Caenorhabditis elegans: one gene and its partner. The protein of the gene in region 1 interacts with the protein of each later gene in a biochemical or structural test. Each region holds a gene or a part of one and is shown on either strand. Other genes may lie near its edges.

Region 1 (6,140 bases):
AGCGGAGACAGAAGATCACGTGAGCCGGCGATGGTGAGGAGGGGGGCTCGTCCCCACATATTCATTCGTAGTCCTGATGAATGCGTGGATTTCAAATGCGATCAGAATATTTCCGCGGAGACTCACGTAGTAGTACAGCCTACATACTCAGGAAGGTTATTCCCACTTTTTAGAATGATCAATTTTAAAGTTTTCAAGTTCGGTATAATCCTGTTCGTTTCTCTTTTCCGATTTCCTCATGTGACATGTTTGCTGATATTATTGGTTTTTTAAAACTAACCTGAAAATATTATTTTCCACTGGAAAACTAGTTTTTATAGACTTTTTTTGTGAATTGACATAAATTTAATAGATATTTATATAGGTATTCTTCCACTTACAAGGAAAGGAAGTCAATCTAGTCCCGGACTTTAAATCGAGACGTATGTCATTTGAAAGCTTATGTTTAGAATAGATCACCACAAAAATTTCAGCGCCGGAACTCAACTCTGAACCCCTGAAATCGCCATCCAAAAAGCTTCCACATTGTTTGTTAGACCCCAAAAACCCCCAAAAACAATTTCTAATGGCTCAGAACCCCTTTTAAGGTCATTTACTTGACATAGAAATCAGCGAAAAAATGCACTGGAGCACTTTCAGATAGCGATTTCAGGGATTCAGTGTTGAGTTCCGCCGCTGAAATTTTTGTGGTGATCTATTCTATTCTAAACATAAGCTTTCAAATGACATACGTCTCGATTTAAAGTCCGGGAATAGATTTACTTCCTTTCCTTGTTAGATGAAAATCATATAGCGATACGATTATCTCCTGAAATTTTTCACAAGGCTATGACAAAATTATGAAGAAATTCTATAACTATTATTCACTCATTTTAAGTTTTGAAATTTTTTTATAGAAAACATATGTATAAGTTTGAATTTACCACGCAAACCAGATCGGCACTTAATCAGTGTCGGTTGCCACGCCTGACGCTAATTGGTTGATTTAATGATGTTGAAAGTGCCCAATAGTTATATGTTCCATTTTAAAACAACAAATTTTATAACAAAATACTCTTATGGTTCGAGTCCTACTGAAACTTTGTATGTCATTTGTCATTACGGTGACCGTGTTGTAAGTTAAGAGTATGATATATTTTTCTCGAGAATATGTGGAACAAAAATATTAAAAGTTTGTTCTTTTATTTTTAAGCTTTTTTAATGCTGTTTTTTTTCAAAATTAGAGAGCTCTGATCACGCGTTCACAAGATAATTTCCGCGAGTTATCTGATTTCAAACGAACCCAATTACAAAATCTCAATGTGCATATACCGCTAATTTGCATCTATTCATTACATTTTGAATACTTTCGGATTTCCATACATCACCCATCCCATCCATCCCGAAAATTCATGATTCATTTTTTGTCTTGTCCCGTCCGCTTTCCCACCTTTTCATCCCACATTTCACGTGATTATTCAGGAGAAAACTTGGAGTAACATGGGAAAAGTCGATCTATCAGACACAAGTTGGTCTCTACCCTGCCATCCGGTTGTAATCGGTTCACATTTTCGGAGCGTTTTGTTCCAAACAGTTTAGTTTTAATAGTTTCAGCAAGGTGGCAGAAATGCTGGAAACATAGACTGAAATTGTATTTTAATAGTTTGTTTACCAATGTCTTATACTACAAAAAATTGTACTATTCCCTCCTCTTTTTCCTCCTTCATCCAGCTCTGTTCTTCTGACCAAGTCAGTTTCTTTGCTCTTTGAATCAGCCTCACTTTTCTTGACTCGACCAGTCCGACTAAAATCAAAACCTTTCAGAACAATGGAAAGCCAGCAGTTGATGGCATGTGCCATCCTGGTAATTGTGCTGGTAGGGATTTTTGGAAATTCACTTTCGTTTATTTTGTTCAGCAGACCGCATATGCGATCTTCATCAGTGAGTTTTTTAAAATGTTAACTAAAATTTTCTACTCTGAAATTTGCATTTACCAAAAAATTAGAATTTGCTAAAAAAATACATTCAAATAATCAATCTTCAATTTTTTCAGGTAAATGTACTTCTATGTGCTTTATCATTCTTCGACTTTTCACTATTAACCCTTTCAATTCCAATATTCGTCATCCCAAATCTCGATTTATGGGCTAACGATTTATCACTTTCAACATATATGGCATATATTCTCAAGCTCATCTATCCAATCAACTTGATGATGCAGACGTGTTCCGTTTATATAATGGTGATGATAACTCTCGAACGTTGGGTTGCCGTGTGTCGACCTTTACAAGTTAGAGTCTGGTGCACACCTCGAAAATCTCGAAACGCGATTCTCGTCATCATCGTGTCTGCTTTCTTGTACAATTTCGTTCGGTTTTTCGAATATCGATTTGTAGTGACGGAAAGTGGAGCGCTATACGAAAAATGGCTGAGAGATCCAGGAAAGCATAGGTAGGGTTTCAGAAATATTTTGAAAAAAAGAAAGTAACAATGTTTCAGGTGGTACTACGTTGGCTACTACACAATTCTTTACATTGTCACACATTTTTTGGTGCCATTTTCTGTTATGGCATTTGCAAATGGGCATGTGATAGTTGCAATGTGCAAACTTAGCAAAACACGGCAGATGCTCACAAGACAGGTATTTTGAATTAAAATGTTTAAAAATATAAAGACATTCCAAATTTCTTAAATTGTCATTCTAAAGTGTTGTGGTAAATTGATTATTTTTAAATTTCAAAGTTTAATTCAAGCCAAAACTTTTTGAACTGAATATTGGAACACAATTACAGCCCTCTGAAAATTAAAAAAAAATTGATTTTTGTTCATGGGTTGATATATGCTATAGAAATGCTATAGAAAAAATTATAACAGAAAAATACAGTTAACAAATTATTTAAATTTGGATTACCGTCCATATTTTTGGTGTTCTAGAATTGTTTTCTAGTGAAAAAAAAATGTTATTGCGCACAGTTTTATATGCAAGAACCAAAATAAAATTCGAATTCCCCCGGAAGGTCATGTAAATTCAGTCTCGTTCAAATATGTTAAGCTATGTATTTCAAATTGAAATAACATATTTTGAATCAAAAATTGTTGTGTAAGTTTCCTGATTATTGAAAGTTTAACTACTCGTTCTACATTTCTGAATTGTTTCCTTCCACATACTTGAATAACACTTGATTTTGCTATTTTTGCTGAAGGTAATAAATATGAAAAACTTTATACTTCAAGCTTTAGAAGAAAATTTTAAGAAAAGATTTATTCAATTTTTTTTTCAAATTGTTAATAATATAGCAACAACGGGAACAGTCGACGACAGTAATGCTACTTATCGTCACATTTGTTTTCGCAATTTGCAACACTCTTCCTTTCCTTCTCAACGTCTCAGAGAGCATTTTCCCGACATTATTCCAAGACGAGGTTTGAATAAGTCATTGTGATTGCGTGTTTTGTCCACTTCTCTCGTTTTGTTACTACAAAAAGCCCTGGTTCTCGTGATTCGATGTCAACAAACTCAATCTTAAAATTGTTGCAGAGCACGCGGGGACTGGCATATTGGCTCAATGATCTATCTAATCTTCTAGTGGTTCTTAACTCGGGTACAACTTTCATTATCTATTTCACTTTCTCAGAGAAGTACAGGCAAACTTTAGTTTTTATTCTCAAGTAAGTAATTTACACTTCTGATTTCAAAAAATTGAAGACTACAATAAGTCTTTGTAGGAATGGATGTTGTGCAACCGTCAGCGACTACAACAACTATACAGCCATGTCTAGAACGGCTTCGATGAGAATTTCAAGCGAGACGGGCGGTCAAATTCAACGACAGGGATCTAAAATGAGCAATAGCAGGTATGCAATGAGCCAGGCCATTCAAATTGTTAAAATAAATCAATTTTAGTTATAGAAAGCCAATTCTAAACGCGCATCTGTCGGAGGTAAAAATGAATCAAAAAATATTATTTTAAAAACGAAATAAATAACAATTTCTCACTAATATGTGCACGAGCTTATAAAATTCTATGTTCCGTCCAAAAACTTGCATCATGAAAACTAATTTTCAGCCGAATGCGCTAACTTCTCTCCTCTCTGTCTCGCATGATTTGAGAATTAACTCAAATTAATTTTTAAAATTTTCAGCCGCTCATCGGACGTTCTTCTCAAACCAATTTACATGCAGAAAAGAAGCGAACGCTTCTCGTCGGAGTACAACGAACGAACTTGCAAGTTAGTTTTTTTTCTGATTTCGAAAAATGTTCAGAAATATAATTAAACAGATACCTTTTTTTTGGGTTAGCAAAATTTCGATAATGGTTTTCATTTATTTTTTATTTACACGAATCTGAACCTGAAACGTCAATGGAGAATTATCTCCAGTTGAAAATAATTTCAGAAATTAAAAAAAATTGAATTAAAGGAAAATGGCGGAAAAAATACTGTAATACAACTCCCAACAAAATTTTTTCCAGACACCTTGCTCCTTTCGAAGAGCACAAATTACCAAAATTGCCGAGCGAGAAGAGGAAGAAGAAACTACATAAGTGAGTATTTTTTGAAATTCTGATTATAAATTTTTTAATTTTCAAGAAATTTTGCTGTTTTTTCTTAATCTCAGTAAAAATACTTTAGCTTTCTGGTTTTAAAATCTGTGAAATTTTCAAAAATAAAGTTTCAATGATAAAATACTTTTAAAAAAATTTAAAAATTAAAAAAGAATTGCCAAATAATGATACATTTAAATGATTGGTGATTAGAAAAAAATGGCGTTAAAGTTTTGTATCACCTTACGGTTTTGTCAAAGCTGTAAGCTGATCTTTTCATTCTATTTCTCTCCCGAAACTCATGGGAACCTTTTTTTTTTGAAATGTGATGTTACTGTATAAAATATGAGTGACGTCACACTTGCCAGAAATGTTCTGAAAGATTGAAGAGATAATCTGAATAGTCGAGATACAAATACAAACGTTTTAAATGAAAATTTCCAGAATGTCGGCTGTAGAACATCGTGGGATGCCTGAAATCACTATCACTTTTAGTGAGGACCTTCCAGATGGAGAACCCGATTCTCCATGTCAACCATGCTAGATTTTATCATTTTCTTTTCACTTGTAGCTTTTTTGTTTGTCTCTTTATTATTATTATCGCCAATTTCTTCCTATGCACCGATCTTTCCAAGCTTTCTTCCATACGAACAATTCCAAATTCCAAACACGGGTTGCCTCATTTGTTCTTTTTTTCTTCGTTTGTCTTTTGCCTCATCTTCTCCACCAGACAAGCATAAATGTGTATATATTTGTTGGCGGTGAGAATAAAAAGTTGAAGCCAATGCCCCCTCAAATGTACATGAAAGTGCGTGGTAGGGAACAAATGACTCCAGGGAGCAATGAATTTTCGAGTGTCACACAAAAGCAGCGGACATTCAATGTGTGGCGGGTTGGCTCCTTTTTTTTTTCTTTTGCAGAGAGTTGCCAATTTGAAAATTAAAAATATTTTTGAGATTAAGATTTACATTTACATGCACAGGTAATACTTCAAAACATCACTTTTTACAAGTTCAAAACCGGTCTATGGCGGCTACTATTTTGCGATTTCAACTCATTGTACAGTTGCGGCATTTTTAAATTTAAACTGTGTAATTGTAGAATTCACACCATATCAATATTTTTTCAAATAATATTTTCAATAAGTCACTACAAAAAAATTAGATGTAGTTGAGTACTCTGGAGCTGGTAAATTTTGATCTAAATTTTTTTCGAGCAATCAGCAATACTCCCAAAGCTTGCAAAATCGCGCCGAAATCTGACTTTTGCAGACTTTCAATGATTTTACGAATTTTTGAGATTCGGAAAACAACATTCTGAAAAATTTTTGTGAAGCTTTATTGTTTTGAAAACAAATCTGAAAGTTCGTTATTTTAACTCAATCTAAAAATTTCAGATTTACGAAGTCGGTAAAATGTGGTTCAGAATTTTTCACTAAAGCTCAATTTTTCGGGAGAGTCTATTTAGGCTTCTAGGTATTATCTGGAGCTTCGGAAATATTTTTATTTGATCTTTTTGTTTTTGGTTAATTCATCAAATCTCACAATTATTAATACACTCATTGACCTTCTCCGCGATTTTCTGGCTCATTGAAACTGCATCGGGTATTACCGGCT
Region 2 (2,949 bases), on another chromosome or scaffold:
CAAAACGTAGATAGACATTTGTTCTCAAAAAAGAAAGAAATGACAGAATCCGATTGGTGCCTGTTGGTTGAGATGCCACCTTGTCGAATTTGTGAAGCGAAGCTGATTAATGAACTGAGCTTTAAGGAGGGGGGATTTTCTGTTTTTGAATAATTAAACATTATTTTTTGTCAAAAACGTCACTTGTCAGAACGCGAGAAATGATTAAGTAGGTTGAACTAATCTTGTTCTCAAGATTGAACAGTGTTTTGAAATTAAAACGAAAACTAATAAATCAAAGCTTCTTGGAAATTCTAGCACCTTCCAAAGTCACTCCACATGTTTAATTATGAGCACTCATTGACATTTCCGAAACAATTCTTTGAAGAACTAGCAAGACTGAATTTTAAAATTTTGATCTTGAAAATAGTGTGCCTCGTTTTCTGACCTAATCTGGCTAAAATCTGAAATTCAGTGCCAGTAGTCGTTTCCTTTGTTCGCGAAGAAAACGTAAGACTTGGTTAACAGATGGGCTATTATTCCATGCGGAACCCAACCACTTTATTCGAAGTTATAGGAAACATAGTTTAAAAAATGTTGTTGCATTGAAAGTACGGATCAAAATATAGGACGAGAATGGGAAGAAAATGTTGGAATATCTAATATGATGTTGGCTGAGTAGTGGGGTTCACCGTGCATTGAATCATTGATAGGATGGAGTTATTGGAAGTCGTAATCTGGCAGCGGATTGAATCGTTTTCCGAAACTGAAAATAATAAAATAAATTCTATCGATCTGCAAGTGTATTAAACATTTTTGTAAGAAGTGATTCTAGTAAGAATACATGACGTTTCCAAATATGTGTTTGGGTTTTAAGCTTGATTTATGTTGTTTTTCCAAATTTTGAAAAAAATTCGGAAACTTTTAAACTACTTGATATACTTCATATCATCAATTATCTCTCATACTCACCGAATGGGCTCGCGCGGGGAGCGTTTGCCAAAACGAATGGGTTCTCCACGAAGACGTTTTGCCATTGCTGAAGCTTCGAAAATTCCAAGAGTGTTGTCGTTGACAGCTGGCTGGGCGACAGTAGTACCCTTTAAATAAGCTAGTTGGCCACGTAATAACTGATCCCGACTAGTGGGAATGGGGAGTATCCGCTTTGGTTGCACAAACTGGAAGGGACTTACAATGACGGCGAGAAGGACGAGGAAAAGAGCAGATAGGATTCCAGAAACTTGCATGGTTTGCGACAATTGGTTTGGCAACGACTGACAATGAGTCAGACGAAAGCTCTGTGTGCGGGTGTGTACCTGAAAATGGAGAGCTTTTTCACACGAGATCGTTTTTGGCAAGAGATAGTAAAACGAAGAGCAGATAGAAATGTAGAGAAAGTGGGTGATGCGTGCTCATTAGCTCGTACAGATCGGATTACAATGTGAACTAGCGTCAAAGAGCGTTGGGCGAGAGCAGTTGCGCAATAACATCTCATCATGTAGAAATGGTGATTTTGAGTGAAGACGTGAAAGATCAGACTAGTGAAGCACGCGCAAAAGTCTCCAGAGGAATTAAATGAATTGCAATAAATAAGTTATTTTAATTATAATCAATGTACTTTACAGGATCGTCTCAAACCCGGACGCATGCTCCTTGTGGACACACATCTCAAAAAGATCGAGCTCGATGAGGACCTTAAGACAAGAATTGCTTTGTCAAGACCTCATAAGCAACTTTCCGCATCGAGAATCTACTTGGACTTGATTCGCAAGGATGATGTGGTTAGTAGTAAAAGACAAAAAAAAAATTGAATTGTGACAAATTTTAACTAATTTTTAGCTCTCTCACGGTGCCGTCACCAATGAATACCTTAATCGTCTTCATTTGGAGCAGGTGAACCCTGGTCTTATGAAGAAAAAGGATGTTCATCTAGACTCTGACCGTCGTCTGGCCTTGTATGCCTATACCCATGACACTTTCAGCTTGCTCTTAGTTCCAATGATCAAGGAGAAGAAGGAAGCTCTCGGGTCAATGGGGAATGATGCTGCGTTGGCTTGTCTGTCTGATTACAGCCCGCTGTTGTTCAGTTATTTCCAGCAACTCTTCGCCCAGGTGGGTTCATAAGCAGAATGGGAAAAAATGAGTAAAGAGAGTAACCAACGGTTCTTCGAAGTTCAAATCTAGAAAAGTAGTCGGAGGCCATTAAATTGTTTTGACTTCATTCGCATACTCCTCCTATTCTATCCATGTAGTTGATTAGAAAAACAAACTTAAGACTGCCCAAAATCGTAATTTTGAGGAACGACGACTTTTTTTGGAGAAATGTATTTTCATTTCTAAGCTTGTTTAACTATGACGTCCGAGTGAAAGAATTAGAAAAAATTGTTCATGAAAATATGTATTAAAAAGTGAGAAAAGTTCCTGGTAGAGTGAACACAGATTGAGCACTTGATTACAGGTCACCAACCCACCAATTGACCCTTTCCGTGAACAAATCGTCATGTCGTTGAGATGCCCAATTGGACCTGAGTCTAACATGCTTGAGCCAGACACCGAACTTGCCAGTCGGCTCATCTTGGAGCAGCCAGTTCTTTCAATGGTTGATATGGAGGTTGGTACATAAAGGGGAAACAAGGAAGAAGATCATACAAATGAAAAAACCAGAGGAGAGCTAGCGCATTTATAGTTTTGCAATTATCTGAAACTGGCTCCAAACTCCTCCTTTGTTTGTCTTGTTGGAATTTCTCATGACGCATCAAATCAATCATTATCATCTTCAGTATTGCAATTTCAGGTCATCAAACGAACTATGTACAAGGGATGGAAAGCAAAGGAAATTGACATCACTTACCCAGTCAAATATGGAGTGAAAGGTACTAAAAACATGAGGATGTTAAGGAAATACGTTTTGATGGGGCTAATCTTCAAGAAAGTTGCAATTTTTGCGGGCGACGATAGATAATTAGTGGC

The links.
Region 2: of the proteins of frpr-18 (region 1) and flp-2, one has a biochemical effect on the other in vitro, tested with the Caenorhabditis elegans proteins (3 studies listed by BioGRID, with this or other methods).

Annotation. Positions count from the first base shown.
Region 1 is NC_003283.11:6,868,503-6,874,642, forward strand, and holds frpr-18 (FMRFamide peptide receptor frpr-18), read left to right. Parts: upstream 1-1,796; 5' UTR 1,797-1,807; coding exon 1,808-1,921; intron 1,922-2,033; coding exon 2,034-2,431; intron 2,432-2,479; coding exon 2,480-2,621; intron 2,622-3,277; coding exon 3,278-3,403; intron 3,404-3,518; coding exon 3,519-3,649; intron 3,650-3,706; coding exon 3,707-3,835; intron 3,836-3,884; coding exon of another isoform or gene 3,885-3,921; intron 3,922-4,123; coding exon 4,124-4,210; intron 4,211-4,452; coding exon 4,453-4,524; intron 4,525-4,968; coding exon 4,969-5,068; 3' UTR 5,069-5,307; downstream 5,308-6,140. UniProt on the Caenorhabditis elegans protein: G-protein coupled receptor for flp-2 neuropeptides. May act through the G(q) alpha type of G proteins.
Region 2 is NC_003284.9:10,093,930-10,096,878, forward strand, and holds flp-2 (SPREPIRF-amide), read right to left. Parts: upstream 1,296-2,949; 5' UTR 1,227-1,295; coding exon 952-1,226; intron 746-951; coding exon 700-745; 3' UTR 501-699; downstream 1-500. Other genes in the region: W07E11.1 (glutamate synthase (NADH)), read left to right, coding at 1,605-1,760, 1,819-2,091, 2,438-2,590, 2,774-2,852.